Diceros bicornis minor: one gene and its partner. The main gene of each other region encodes a partner of the protein of the gene in region 2 in a complex. Links are inferred from orthologs where the notes say so. Each region holds a gene or a part of one and is shown on either strand. Other genes may lie near its edges.

Region 1 (7,250 bases), on a different chromosome or scaffold from region 2:
CTTCTCAGTCCTTCCACCTGCCTCCCCATCCCTTCTGCTCTCACTGGCGCAGCCAGGGGGCCTGGACAAAGTAGCAGTAACTCACTGTCATGGGAAGAGGTGAGGATGGACTTGAAGGCCGCTGGCCAAGAATCTGAGGGCTGGCTCGGGTGAGTCAGGCACCCCAGGGAGTCAGAGGCATTTTAATCCAACCATGGGGGATTATCTGCTGATAAGGACCAAATCAAGGACCCTGATGATGCTATCTTCAGGGGTTTTTCCCAGTAACCTACCCACATCAGAAAACAGAAGCCTGGATTATTTGAAAGCAACGTTGTGTGTGACTCTGACGGAGACCTGAGTTTGGGGAACAACTTCCAGCAACTTCTTCCCAGGGGCTCCTTGAGTTTAGGCCAGGCCCAGAGGTCATTGGTTTTGATCCTGGGGGTGGGACAAGTAAGTGGTGGGAGACAGTGACTGCATCTTCCTTTGTGCATGTTCCTAATTCAATGATTCATCAAGTGTCCCTGATGTCAGCTGCTGAGGAGGTGACTCACTGCTATCCCTGATAAAGACAGCACGTGGTCCTTTCCACAGGGTGCTCAAGGGAGCAGAGAAAGGATAAACTGTCCTTTTTCCCGGCTTCTTCTACCCAGGCGGGAAAGATCCCGGTTTTGTTAGCTGTGCAAGTGATATGTACCCAGGATCCAGTGATAAAGGCCTAAGAGGAACCCCTTAATCATAAGTGGAGAGAAAACCCATTGATAAGTGATGATCATTTCAAGTAAATCTGGGTACCAGCAGATATTTTAAATGATTCCTTACAACACAGAAGTCATTGCCCAGCTTCCCCGTTGGCAAAGTCCATTTCAATTCCCAAAATTAACTGGAGATAGTATACAGACGAGAATTACAGTGTGGGACAGTGTTTCATTCACCTTTACACCCATCAGGACTAGTGTAATTTATTAAAAAAATGAGGGAATGAATAATTAACTAATAAGAATAATAGTACTTGAATTGGGAGTTCTTAAAATACAGTAAAAATTGCCGGCCACCATTGGTAGCTATAATTCCAAGAAACTCACCACGTTTTTCAAGGGCCCAGGAAAATGAATGAGTTGGAAATTGTTAAATGTACTGAAAAATGATTTATTTTCCCCTTGACAGTGTCACTGGAACTGGAATTAAGATTGAAAACTCCACAGGCGTGTTTCCCTCTGTGGGTGTCAGCTGCCGGGTACACAGGCGTCAGGAAAGCCTCGGCCAGTTCTCCCTTCACCTGAACCAAATGTATTTTAAAGCAAATGATGCAAAACACTGCATTTTGATTTAGCTAAATGGCTTGTTAACAGCAGTAGTTTTAAACAAAAATCACTGTAAAATTGTATAGCAATAGAATCCATAGTACTATTACAGGCTTTCTCGAACAGTGAATATCCCAACGTTGTAAATTAACTCATTCAAAAGCCAGATTTTCATTTAACAATGCTTATTAGGCTAGTTATTAGAGAAAATCAGAAAAGTTCCCCATAAACCCTGTCCCCATTCGACAATGAAAATTGGTCAATAGGACTCTAAAGTTTACTTTCAGAACCCAGACTAGTGAGAAGAAAGTGGGCGGATATTTGCATTTGGTCTAAAGGCACAATTGAGAAGCATTCTGCAGTCCCCACTGTATTTGGTTGACACCCTCAGCCAGCACTGCATTTTAGGCATCTCTATGTTTTCAAATGCATCTGGTATTTAATGTTATGTATTGGAGCAATTTGCCAATGCCAGTTCCTTGTAATTAAAATACACTAATATTAGAAATGAAAAGAGACATGTTTCGCAGCATCCATATCTGTTACTAATGACAGTTACAAAGAATAGAACGTGGGACTCCCTTCTTGCCAAATAGCTTCCTTTCCCACACCTGAATCTCAGCAAAGAAGGGAGGCTACCTCTTTCATGCAGGTTTATCTGGGCTCCTCGATTACAATGAGCCTCAGTCACAGTGCGTTCTGAGTCATTAACATTCTGTACACAGTCAAACTTCCCGTCCCCCAAGAAGGAGTTATGCCCAGGCCTCCTACAGCCTAATTGTTCATTTAAAGAGAGAACTTGTATTCAGGAGCTTGAAAGAACCCTCCGAATATTCCTCAGGTGTTTGTAGGAGTCATTCCTACAGGTCCTGGTCCCTGGGCTGGTGGGAGCATCCTTTCCCGGTCACTGCTTGGACAGTGTAGCATCGGTGGTGCTGCAGGGACAAGCTGACTACTAAAAATAACCCTTTGCAATAAGGCCAAGGCAAACAGCATGCATTTCCTCGGACTTTTTGCCCAATCAAAATCATATAGTAAACCCATCCTCCTCTCTCTCCCCACTGCTCCTGACTGCATCTATGGAAGCGAAGTCCTTGCACGTTGGGAGAAGAGTGCAAAGGAACAGGATTCCTGCAAAGCGTGACACAGAAATCTAGAAATAAATGTTGCCTATTGTTTGAAGTCATTCTAAGCACTCCGGCAGAGTCCTGGCAGGAGATCAGCAGCATACATAAGTAGTAATAAAAGTAAACAGTGCGCTTTTAAACTCGCAGGCTCTGCCGCGTTAATAGTGCCCCCATTGTAAGAGGGATGAGGGCGGTGGGGAAGATACTGGGGCTCCAGGAATCCATGTCGGCAAGTTGCTGCTTCTCAGTCTCCTTTCCCAGGATCAAATATAAGAACGATAACAAAGTTACATCTAACTACGCAGAGAGTTTGAAAATAAAATCTCTTTAAGTCAAACCAAAAGAGATTTTCTAGCCTCTCTGTGAGGCTCCCCTGCTCTGACACAGATTTTAAAGACCCGTTCATTTAAAAAACACAATGCTAGCATGCTACAGATTAATGCAAATTAAATTAATGCAAATTTAAGTGGTATTTAAAGGTAGTCTCTTTGTCTGAGAAGAGGATGAAATGCTCGGTTTGGAAAGAAGTAATTTCCTAGGCAAGCCGTCAGCGCTGGTTTTCCTGCTTACCTTGGGGGAAACGCAGGGCTCCTTTCTTCTCAGACTTTTCTGAGAGCTAGAAAGAGGTCCTGTTACTTCCAAATGCTTTTGTTCTTCTGTCCCTCTGTCACATGGCTTGCCTTTTATATTTGCAACACACAAAAGTTAGGACTGTTGTTTAAGCGACACAGGGAGAGAGAGAGAGGGAGAGAGAGAGGGAGAGAGAGAGAGAGAGAATGTCAAATGGAAAAGTGCCATTGCAGTCATATATCAATCAGGCGTGCGGCCGCAGCAGCGCACTAGCAAATGGGAATGCCACGGAAATGTGAGGCGCTCGTTAGTTATCGGGGACTCACAGCCACTGCCCTCCGCTGGGCTCCCTTCCACGGAGCATCTTACGATGGGAACAACGTACAAGAACAAGGGCAAGGAAATCCGGCCCCCCGCCACTGTTTTTGTATTATGGAAATAACAAGGGGCTAAATGAATATTCTGGATTTAATTCTTTGACAAGCATGTGGCTGCCATAAAGATGTGCAGTCTGCAATAAAGACACATAGTTTCAGAAATACAAAGACTGTGACATTCTGTTTAAGGATTCAGCAGCTGACTGGGATGAAGTTGAAATTCTAAGTAAGAGAGGAGAAAGATCGGAATCAGAGCTACTTGTCAGGCGAGGCTGTTGAAGCAAGTGCAAAACCCTGCCCTATTTTATCACGATGTGTATGGGTGGTGAGAGGTCTTCTTTTCTGAGTTGTTCATCCATTAAATGATTTTTAGCAGCATATCCATGATTAAATCTACAACGGCACTTTAATAAGCACCTTCGCCCGCATCATTTAGAATAAAACTTTAGATTTGATTTAGAAACACCGAGACAGTAGTCCTTGCCTCCTGGAGACATGTGAGTGTGAGAGTAACAGGTAAGGCCAACCCACTGCACTACAACTAGTAGAAAAATGGCAAAGGTAACTATGTGTGTGGTCTAAATGCTTGCTAGCTGGATAATACTGTTAGGAGCTGTGGGAATACAAAGGGAAATATTTCATAATCCTTGCCCTTAAAAGCTTAAAATTAAGACAGAAAACCATCAGCAACTTGGGGGGAAAACACAAAGAACCACTGAACCATTTATAAATTTTTTTATGTCAGCCCCAGCTCCAACATAAGTTTTTTAATTAACACTGATAAAGAATTAAACTGAGAATATGAAAAAATGATGTTTCACGGAAGAGTAACTATATCATAAAACTTAAGAAGAAATTTCTCTCGGGAGCCCAATATAATTGTTGATGCTGAAACTATGTTCAGCTGTATCACATCATTTATTATTTATTAATAAATTGATAATCGCATTATTACTTTTCCACGGAATCTTTAGTCCAAACAGTCATTGATGTTTACAGGAGGCGTCTTAAAATGTTTAGTTTTACCTCCACCCTTTAATAAGAAGCCTCTTTTCTTTTGCTCTACCGGGAAAATCCTGTCTACCTGGGACCAGCCAGTCACAAACAGAATCCACTTACGAGGATAAAGGATAAGTGACAAGTTCAAAGCCTTGAAAGAAAACCTGGCACTTGGCCGATGATGTTGGCTAAATGTCTTAAAAGCAGAAGATCAAAAAGCAAATGGAAATTGGGCCTGAAAAATGGAAATAATCTGAAAGGGGAAATGACTTGTAGCTGAGTAAGAGCCATGGAAATAGTCATGAACACATTTTCTGGCTCAATTTTGTGGATCAGATTGGGAAGGAGAATAAACTCTTTGGCCACCAACGTTTTCACGTATCAGAGCTTGACGTCCATCCACCTTTTCATTTCTCCCGATAAATAATTTGTGGCTCTCTCAACATATGTTCACCACTCCACCCTGCTATCTTTTGCCTTTGGGTTCTCAGAGTCACTCTATCTGCTCCAAAGAAACATGAAAAGGTGTGGTTCTTCCTGGTTGGAATTTTCCAGCCTTCTACAATCTCCCCTTCTGCAAGAGCACCACAGAAAGTGTAAAGATTGCAAACACATTGACTGCTTGGCCACAGAAGACAGGATCTCTCCCAGATGGAGCCCCACTGCTTCCTCCTGCCGTTATTCTGTCAGGGGTGGCGAAGAATACCATCTGTTGCCCCTTTCAAGAGGGAGGCTTTGCCTCCGCCCGTTGGGCTCCAGAGGACTTGTTTCTGAGCCTACCAATAGGTATCTGGCAACAGTAACTCTTTTCATCACATCACCATGCTTTTTAGAAAGGTTACTGTGCCACACGTGGTTACTGGCCATCATTAACATTGCTGAGAAAGAAGGGCTCCCTTTAAATTTCTATCTATGCAAAAAGGGATGAAAATACTCCTGCTGTTATCTCATATGCACTCAGGGTGGAAAAAGTTTGGAGAAGGAGATGTCTGTCAGCTGGATGGGAAATCCTTCAAGGGACCACTCCTGAACCTTTTATTTCTGGTACTGTTTTCAGATTGCCTCTCTCTTGGTAGCTCTAGTGGATATTTACAGGACTCGCCCGGCATCTAAACACCCCTGGAGGGCTGGGTAATTCCAAGGCAGGTTCTGTCTCCTCCCTGCGGAACCTGAAAGGAGCAGCTGTTTCCTCTCCCCTCCTCAGGGCTGCTGGAGACCCAGGTGTGATCAAGCCAGGTTCACCAGATATGCCATCCAGGAGGAGTGGCCAAGGCATGCGGAAAGTCAGAGGTTATTCCCTCTGGGCGCATTGGCATCGAGAGCCTGGAGGTTACAGTGGCCAATGTCGGGGGTAACAGAGCCCAGCCATGTGACAGTGGGTGTCCTGGGGGCACAGGATCCAAGAAGGCATCCTTAGCAGTCTGATCTTTTTGGCTGCATCCATGTTCACCATCATTTAATAAGCCTGGCTCTCCCGTTTTCCTGGTGATTCTGTGAACTGCCCCCCATCACCACACCCACTAAGATCTCTCCAATAAATTCCTTTCTGCTTTAATTACCTAGAGACAGTTTTTGAGGTTGGCAACCAGGAGTCCTGACCTGAACACTACATTTTCCAAATTTAGGCAAACTAACAACATTAACATACGAATGTAAATGTAACCTCTACTTCCTCCTAGCTACCTTCCAAAACAAACAGATGTTTTTAGATTCAATGTCAGTCTGCTATAGTCTCTGCTATAACATTTCAAAAGTAGAAAATTCCTATGTGGGTATATAAAAAGATCCATAGTTCTTATATATAAGTACTTATCAAGATGCCCACTGAAAACAGTACTATTTGACATCATATGTACATGGATACAAACATCGTGTGTGTGTGTAGGGGTGTGTGTGTGTGTGTGTGTAAAATCCCAACATACCAGCATAGTCTGCTAGGCATGTTTTATAATTATCTATGAGAATACTAATCTTTATCATCCTCATGAATATGATAGTCTTCATCCAAAAATACCTATTCATAATAATATCAACTATTTAATGGGTGTTTACTCTCTGCTGGACTCTATGCCAAATATTCTATATGTATTGTCTCTTTTAGAGAGATACACAGCAATCCTATAAGGTAAATACTATTATTCTCTATTTTATAAATGGAGAAATTGAGGCTCTGCAAAGTTCAGTGACTTCCTTGTGGTTGACACAGCAAGCAAATGGCAGAATATGAGCTCTGGTTTTCCTGACTCCAAAGGGCCATGGTTTAGCCACTGTGCCGTGCTGCCCCCATTCAACAGAAACTCACTGAGCAACTCTCTTATAGTAATGATCTGCTATTTGTCAGGGGTACAAATAAAGGTAGAACATGGATCCAGATCTTAAGGTGTTTATGATACAGTAGGGAAAAAAGAAATGTTCTCTTAATGGAGACACTGCAAGGTAAAATGTGATCAGAGCCACAAGAAAAGCAAAAGATATGATAAGATCAGAGGTGATGTGTCCAGGAGAATTCCACTGGGTCTGAGCTTTGAAGGCAAGAGTGGGAACCAGAGGACAAGGGTGAGTTTTTGGAGCAACACATAATCAGACATTTGGCTGGGCCTAAACCTAAACTACGTGATCCAGGAGGATAGGTGAGCAGAGGATGAGCCAGGCTAGGAGCTGCAGCCAGACAAGATTGAAGGAGAGAATAGGGTGGTAAGGCAGTCTGAGGCAAAGGAGAGGTTATGTAAGTGGAAGAAGACAACTGAGGCCGAGGAACGAAGAGAAGTAGCATGGCAGGGATGCAAATAGGTACTTTCATTTATTCATACATTCATTTAACAAATATTCTTTAAGTGTTTCCTACCTGTCAGATGTTGTTCTCATTCCAGGGGCTCCAGCATTGGATAAAG
Region 2 (8,072 bases):
TCAGGGTAGGAAAACCTGGAAGAATCGATGAGGAAAGTCAGCACCGTGAAGGCGGTGGAGATGAAGCACAGGCTGGCCCACACTGCCATCCAGATATCGGTGAACTCCTTGGCCGAGCGGCTGTACAAGCCAGCATCGTAGCCACACTTGAGAACGCAGTTCAGGCTCCTTTTCACCCAGATGTACTGATCGGAATTGGCTCCCACGGAATGGCACTCTTCCCCAGGCTGGATGGGGGTTTTGTGGGGTAACGGCACCTCCTCGTCACCCGGCCCTTCCATGCACATGTGGTTGTGGTCATTCTGTGGCGGGAATTTGCTGCAGTTCAGGCTCTCCGGCCAGGCAAATCCAAATTCCTTCAGGACAGGTTCACAGCGTCTCTTGACTGAAAGACACATGCCGCCGCACGGGCCGATGGGGATGTTGATCTTCTCTGTGCACATTGGCACATAAACCGAACAAAGGAAGAACTGGAAAAGTCATGAAATGAACAAAGAAAACAATGACTTGGAAGTCTGACCAAACACTTGCACAAAGCTGAGCTGAACGCTTCCAGGCAAAGTACGTATCTACTTTTAAACCAGCCTATAGAGAGTCTGACTGTTTACTGTGACCTCCAACAAGGGTGCCTAATAATCCATCACTTACACACTTTTCTTCTTTTGGTTCTAGTAATCCTTTCCAGGAGAACATAAATAAATACATGCATAAAAAGGACCTGAAGAATTACATAATACCTTTCTGCACAACACTTAAGGAAATAAACCTAAAAAACGCACTTTGAGTCACCCTCCCCTTTCAGCTACTATTTGGAAGAACTGAACAGACTAATTAAGTGACTCAGTCATTTCGGTGATGAGGTGATTTCTTTTTATCCCCATTTCTTTATCACCATAAGAAAAAAAATGTAGATCTACCTTTTCTCCTGTTAATATTCTCTACTTTATCTCCTAAAATTATTTTTTAATCAGTCCCATAACGAAACAGAAAACGTCCTAATTGAGACACTGTTAGACCCAAGGATGGGAGGCAGGTTGAGGTCTCCAGTCACCAAGGGCTTGTTTGGCCAGGTTTTCTCAATGAAGCACAACAGGAAAATATAAATGTTAAGTCCCTGAAACTGCACTACCAGCAGGGGAGAGTCCAGTTGCTGTCCTCAATTCCTCCAGCATTGATAAACAGTCTGCTTGGCTCCTTACAGATGTTGTCTATGAAGTCTAGAGTTACAAGTAACTATTTTCCAGTATGTAAAGGGATCCAGTCCTGTCCTTCAAAACAGCTTGGCTGCTTCCCCAGGATACATGTAATTAAAAATATATATCCCTGCAAAGGCTGTTTCTCCAACGAAATTGCAACTGATGTCAGGATATGTGCTGTTTCCAAACTGAGGGCTAGAGGATCATTTCTTAAGCTTTTATAACCTAGTTCTAAAGTTCTGAAACTTCCAAAGGGAGAGTTCACCAGCAACAGGTCTAATCCCAACCATCTTTCTGAAACCACAATCCAACTTTTAAAATGACGTGTGTAAAAACATGCACCTAGTAAGTAAGCTGCCTGCCTGTTTCTTATCTTTCAGAAGTTAACAGCCAGAACCACGGATTTCTGAAGCTTTTAGCCTGGACAACTATCTTCTATTTTTTTCCCAACCTCTCTTTTCTAAATTTCTAAAAATCACTCTTACCTTCACTAACCAAAACACAACCAGTGTTAAACTTTTCAAATTTCCTTTCAGTTCTTTTTTTTTTTTTAATGAATTGGTTGTTGTTTTTGTAAGATTATAATCACCCTGTATATGTAAATTGTTTCTTCACTTATTATTGTAGGATGAACATTTTCTATGTCATTACATAATCTTTAAAATTTTTAATGACTGCAAAAAAAAACTTCCCAATACACAAACTACCTTCCTGAAGCTTGTCCATAAACATTACCTTTTTCCCAAGCTGAGTTGTCTCCCCCTCCAAGTAACAAAACCTGCCCTCAACCCTGAGGATAAGAACGAACTCAAGCCAATTCAACCATTGCTTCCTGCATGACCTCTAAAATCATGCAGGATGACGCCAGGAGGGGCCATTCGGCAGACAACCGGGCAGTGGTGTTTCATTTAATAACCCACCCAAAAATATGGGAGAGAAGGGAGGACGGTGAGGGAGGAGGAGTTCTCGTCTCCTTATCTCTCCTTCCAAGTCTTAGCTGCAGCTGGCTGCCCTGCCGGGAACTCGCCCACCGAGCGGCGGCGGCCAGAATCCTTGGCAAAGATAACCCTCAGGTCCACTGGGGTTAGGGGCTTGGCCAGACACGGGTGGGCAGGGGAGAAAACGGAAGGGCGGGTGTACGAGTGGGTTCTTTCGCAGGCCAGACGACTTACACAACGTTTTGGCTTCCAGTCCCTGAGAAAGGACTGAAAAGTGGGGGTGGGGATGGAAATCACTTTTCCAGGATAGTTTTACCCTTTAGTCTAGGAAGGGGGCAAAGGGCTCGACTTGGCAAGGCCTCCACGGAGTTAGTCTGGGGCGTCCCTGCCCAGGGGGTCCCGCCAGGGGTGGGGGTGGGGTGCCCACCTGCAGCTGGCTGGAGCAGCCGTACTGGATGAGAGGCGTGAACGTTGTCAGCTGCAGCTCGGCGTCCGTCTGCAGCTCGTGCCCCACCAGGTTGGGCATCTTGGTCACGTTGTAGCCCAGGTTCTGGCACATGGAGATGCGGATGGGGTCGCACCGCCGCTCCTCCTCGTCCCCGAAGCCCCGCGCCGGCCCCAGGAGTAGCAGCAACAGCAGCAGCAGCCGCAGACTGAGACCGACGCCCCCGGGCGCCCCCGGGACGCTCGACCCCGCGCCCCGCCAGGCCATGGCCAGAGCCGGGGGCAGCAGCGGCGGCGGCGGGGGCTGCTCCAGCAGACACCCCCAGTTTGCACGGGGGCGTCGGCTGCCCGCGCTGCTCCCAGCTCCGAGAAGGGGAGTGTGATAAGGCACCAAGGGCGACGAGGGGGCAGCGGCCGGCTCTCCGGCAGCTGCGCGCGTCTGTGTGGGATATTAGACGCCCCGGGCCGGGGCCGACGGACAGACTACGAGGGTCATGGCTGCAAGCGGCGAGCCCCAACCCAGCGCCAGCTGCGTCCGCTCGGCGTCTCGGCGGAACCCGCCAGCACCCAGCGCCGCACCGCTCTCACCGCCCGAGCCCTCCGCGGCGCTGGAGGTTCGCTGGGCGGCGGCGGGGCGGGACGGACAGCGCGCCCCTCCAATGGCCGGGCACCGTGGGCAGCGAGGGGCGGGGCCGCTCCGCCGCTGGAAGGGTCAGGCCGCCACCCGCCGGCCCCCCTCCTCCGTTCCCCCCCCCCTCCCCGGAGCGCCCCGCCCCGCTTCCCGGCTCTCACTTTCCTCCCACCGGGTTCGCGGCGCTCAGGGGCCGCGCTGGGATAGAGCCCAGTCGCTCCGGCCAAGGTAGCTTGCGCCCTCCTCTTTCAGGTGAGAAGTGCTCCCAGATCAGTCGGCTTGCTTCCCTTTCCGTTTTCCAGCTGTCACCTCGGCCCGTGGCCACCTCCGTATCCCTATCCTACACAAAGAACACTGGATTTGGATTGACAAAGATTGTGGCTTTAAATCCCGGCTGTGTGACTTTGAGCAATTTGCTCAACCTCTCGGCGTCAGTTTCCTCACCCGTAAAGTGACTTGGGAGGATTAGAGATAATGCACAAAACGCTGAGCACGGTGCCTGGTACCGCGCGAGCTCGCAGCTATTTTCACTCCTAACTTGCTAGGGTTGGAGCCCGGCCCCCTCTTCCCGCCCCCAGACTCGGCCCGACCTGCGCCCGGGAGCTGCAGGTCTCCAGCCGCGAGTGGGGGAGGCGCCCCGGAGCAGCCGAGCAGCCGACGGTCTCGCGCTCCGATTTCCTCACCGTATGAAATGAAATTCCACAGGGGGATTCGAGAGGAAATGAGACCGGGACGCTCCGTGCTTCTCGGCCCGCCGCCCTTCCTGTCTCGGGGACACGGTTTCTAAATAAGGTTGGGAGGGTGAGAGGGCGGGAGGGGAGACGCTTGACCTGTGCACCGGGGGCGAAGAAGGCGCATAACCGCCGGGGCTCCCCTCCCCCAGCCCCCAGGCAACCCTCCCCTGCAGCCTGCATCTTTTTCTAACTTATTCTGCTTCTGCTTAGGGTTTTGGGGATCTGGGGATCTTGCGACCCGTGTTTTGTTCCAACTCGCGCCTCGCTCATTCCCAGCCCTCTCCCCCACCCCCACCCCTCGGACGGAGCTTTGTGCCAGTGTGCCCTCTCCGCTTTCCAGTTGGGCCAGTGAAACCCTCGACAGGTGGATTCCTAAGCTATTTACTTGTTGCTTGACTGTGGTCAAGCTACTGTGCCTCTCTGAGCCTCAAATTGGCCATCTGTAAAATAAGGAAGTGTATGACTGCCCAACACAGTTGGCCTAAGAGTTAAGTGAGATAATGCCAGTAAATCATTTAGCAGAGTGTCTGACACACAGTAAGTGCTCAATAACTTAGATATTGTTGTTGTTCTGGGACAACCTCCTGCTTTCCTGCTTTCCAATCTCCTGCAGCCCAGGTCTGAGGATCTGGGTAAAGAGCTTTCTACTCTCTTCTGAGATCTTTTTGTCCAACACTTGCCACTGTTTTCCTGGGGCTTGGAGACAGGGACCAAGTTATTATGCATGTTTGTATCCTCCCGTGTCAGCCAAGTCTGGCATAAGGCAAAGGCTGGATACAAGTTAGAAGGATGTCTGCACCACTCATGTAGTGCTTATATGTGTCTTGTATTTTTAGTTTTCTTATATTGGCAGCTGGACTTGGCTGAGGGCAAGAATGGAATCAACTTTTTTTGGTAATTTTGCTCTGTGCCTAGAACTGTGTTGGGCACATAGAAGCTGCGTTGTCTCCAGCCATCATCATAACCTCCCAGGAAAAGAAGCTCACCCTTAAAGAGATGAAGAAACTGAGGTTTGAGCCATAGTGATACTTAGAAAATGAAAGACCAACCAAACCAGGGCCCAAAGGAGGCCTTTCAAAGATGGGGGCAGGGTTATTTCACCAGAAAAGTTCCCAGCTGGAAATCTACATACTCAGCAGTAGGGGTGAATCTTCTGTATGCCTGTGCTGAGTAATGCATGAGACTATTGGCCTACAAAGATAAATAAATGATTAGATGACTGAATCAAGTGAATAGATGATCCTCACCCTCTAGGAACTCACAGGAGGAGACAAAGAAGAAACAGACAACTGGAACTGAATGTGATAAGTGCACAGAGAATTGTGGATAAATTGAAGGTAGAGGTAGCTGGGTTTGGAGGGCGGCTCCAAGGGGATGACCTGTAGGATTCTGAGCTACTCAACAAAGCAGAATTAATGTGCAGTGGGCTCTTCTCCCAGGGCACTTGCGAGGAGGGGAGGGGGGCTTGCTTTGTGCTAAACATATGTGTACACGGTTTATTAAACAGTGAACTCCATGAGGTCAAGGAGCAAGAGCTTTCCCTTGCACAGGGCCTGGCACACAGAGGGAAAACCATTAGTGTTGGGTGAAGGAATACTATTATTAAATCAATAACAAATAACTCATATAGAACCCTTCCTCTGTGCCAGCTACTGTCTTACCTGCTTTACATGCATTATCTCATCTATCACATGCAAGAGCTTGAGAAAACTAATGTTCTAAGAGGTTAAGCAATTTCCCCAGGATCACACAGTAAGTGACAGAGAAGGGCTCAGATGCATGTCTGCCTGGCCCAAAAGTCTCTGCGTGGTATTGCTCTCACAGAGGAAACTGCTTGACACTCAGCCTAATCCTTAGTTAAAGACGACCCTTTTGTGATCTGGACCTCTTGTTCCCAGCCCTGGCATCCCTGCCTCAGCTTCCTTGAAGCCCCTGTCTCCTTTGAGAACACTTGAAGAAGCCCCTTCCCCGTCAGAAGCTTTTCCTGTCAACAGCTTTTCTTTTCCGGCATGGAACTCATTGCAGGTATTTTCCAAAAAAGAAAGCCAGAGGAATCACATTTCAGTCTGAATGTGGAAAGAAAACAAAGACCACAACTCAGAGCTAAGTCTGAATGGCCTGGAGCCCCTCAGCCTCCCTGTCTCAGAGTGGTTTACACAGTCACCAGTCTGCTCCCAGTGACAGGCATGGCATGTTTGTCTTTGTTGCAGAAAACACGTCCCTGAGGCAATTCCAGGCAGAGGTCTGTCCACCCTGTAACATGCAGAGCGTTTAGGAGAGGAGTAGAAGAAGGGACACGTGAATAGGACATTCCGTTAACCTAAAAGGCAGGCCAGGGACCCCTAGTGGCTCTGGCAGGACTGCCTGGGCACATTCCTCTGGCCACTGTCTGAAAGTAAGGATAACAGCCACTTTGGAGCTGCAACAAACATGACTCCAGCAGGCTGTTGGGCAGTTGGAGGGCTCTCCATTTGCATCTAATGAGAGGCTGGGTTCTAATTAACTCCTGTGATGTGTTAATTTTTCAACCTGACATTTTCTGCTCTAATAGATTCTTATAATGGTTCCTAAATTAAAGGCTGCATTTGAAGACTAGTGTTTAGGTTAAAATCCACCACCTAGAGGGGTGGGGGGCCGTAAACATCTTTTCCCTCCTGAGGAAAACCTCTCATTTGCAGTTCTTTGCTAACCCAATTAAGTGCTGAAGTAGTCACCCCAGAGCCTGCTTTTTATTTCCTGCGAAACAATCCAACTAATCCATATTCAGTAGCTTCCAAGAAAAGTCTTATTCCAACCACTCATGAAGAAACCAGCTTCTTTGAATCTGGACAGAACATTTAGAACTCACAAAGAGTTGTCTTGATGGAAACTGCAAGAAAGTGGTTCATTATCCTGTTTGGTTTTTGAGGGGAAAATTCACTGGGACTTAAACCTCATAAAGATTGAGAATTGACTGTGAAACAACAGAAGCATAGGGAGAGGCCATGCTGTATCCCATCAGTTTATAGATAGTCTGGGTGCTCCACCTTCCCCTGCACCCGAACTAGTTACAAAACAAAAACGTGTGCTGGGTAAAGCGGAAGGGAATGCTAGTCTTGCTCAAAGTTGAGGAATCAGAGTCCGCAAGAGGTTAATTAATAGCTCATAAGTGGCAGAGCCAAACTCCCTTCTTACCCATTGCGCCACTAGCCAGCAGAGAAGAATCAAGTCACCACAGACCTCTTGCGGGTCAAGGAATCAAAGCCCTGTTGTTCCTCCTACCAAGCATAAGATGGTACATATGACATTCTTATTTGTTGGTGGTGATTGTTTAATGCACAAATGGGCAACCAAGAACCTTTGCAGGGGGCCAAAAATAATGCCAATACGCTTTGTACCTCCACGACCTCATTTCATTTCAGTATTTGTCAGTCAAGCCATTAACAAATGTTTAGTGATGGGTTATTGTGGACTTGCCATTCCCATACAAGGAGGTATGCACACATATAAAAGGTGGTCCCCGCCTTCCAGGAGCTTGCAGTCACATTGGAGGAGATTAAGACATGAGACGAAGCACGAAAGAGCTTGTTTAGAGTTAAGTGCTTTATCTTGAGCTCCCTTACTGTAAAATAAGTTTGTTTTTTTGTTTTTGTTTTTGGTGTTTTTGGTCTCCTTCACAATCTCTGAGGTCAGAGGTGTGTCTTCTTCACCACTGTGTTCCTGAACAGCAAAGAAAAACACTACCTGACCCATAGAAGATATTCACTAGATACTTGTTGAATAAATAAAGGAATGGTTCAGGCTATAAGTGCTCTAATTCTTCAGAAAAAGAGAGCATTATGTGCTGGGTAGAGGCAACCACCAAAATACAACCTAACTGGCCCCAGAATGATGGTCAAGTCTATTCTCTAAGCCACTTCTATAAAACAGCTTTCAGCTGTCTTCTGAACTTGGATGTGTTGCCAATAATTATCTTCCTTTTCTGTCTTACTATGCTGATTCTTAAATCTTTTAAGGTAGAAAAATGTCTTAGCCAAAATTGTTGTTTGATTCAGAAGCCTATTTCTCTATATCATGAATCTGCCCAGATATTTTCTTATCACTGTTCATTGGCTGGTCTCACCACTCATCTCATTCTTGTCAGCTGAAG

What was found.
Region 1: the proteins of FZD4 (region 2) and NDP are in contact, whole or in part, in a crystal structure (PDB 5BQE), measured with the Homo sapiens proteins. The link is inferred for Diceros bicornis minor from reciprocal best matches to the Homo sapiens genes FZD4 and NDP. Residues at the interface, in NP_036325.2 of Homo sapiens: Ser51, Met52, Gln54, Asn55, Leu56, Gly57, Gln95, Phe96, Met105, Thr107, Lys109, Ile114, Asn152, His154, Met157, Cys158, Met159, Glu160, Gly161, Pro162; in NP_000257.1 of Homo sapiens: Asp33, Ser34, Pro36, Arg38, Met40, Arg41, His42, His43, Tyr44, Val45, Asp46, Lys58, Met59, Val60, Leu61, Lys102, Lys104, Leu106, Tyr122, Leu124, Ser125.

The regions. Positions count from the first base shown.
Region 1 is NC_080781.1:38,280,760-38,288,009, forward strand, and holds the start of NDP (norrin), read right to left. Parts: upstream 3,013-7,250; 5' UTR 2,984-3,012; intron 1-2,983. UniProt on the Homo sapiens protein: Activates the canonical Wnt signaling pathway through FZD4 and LRP5 coreceptor.
Region 2 is NC_080746.1:45,769,920-45,777,991, reverse strand, and holds the start of FZD4 (frizzled-4), read right to left. Parts: upstream 3,012-8,072; 5' UTR 2,847-3,011; coding exon 2,562-2,846; intron 471-2,561; coding exon 1-470. UniProt on the Homo sapiens protein: Receptor for Wnt proteins.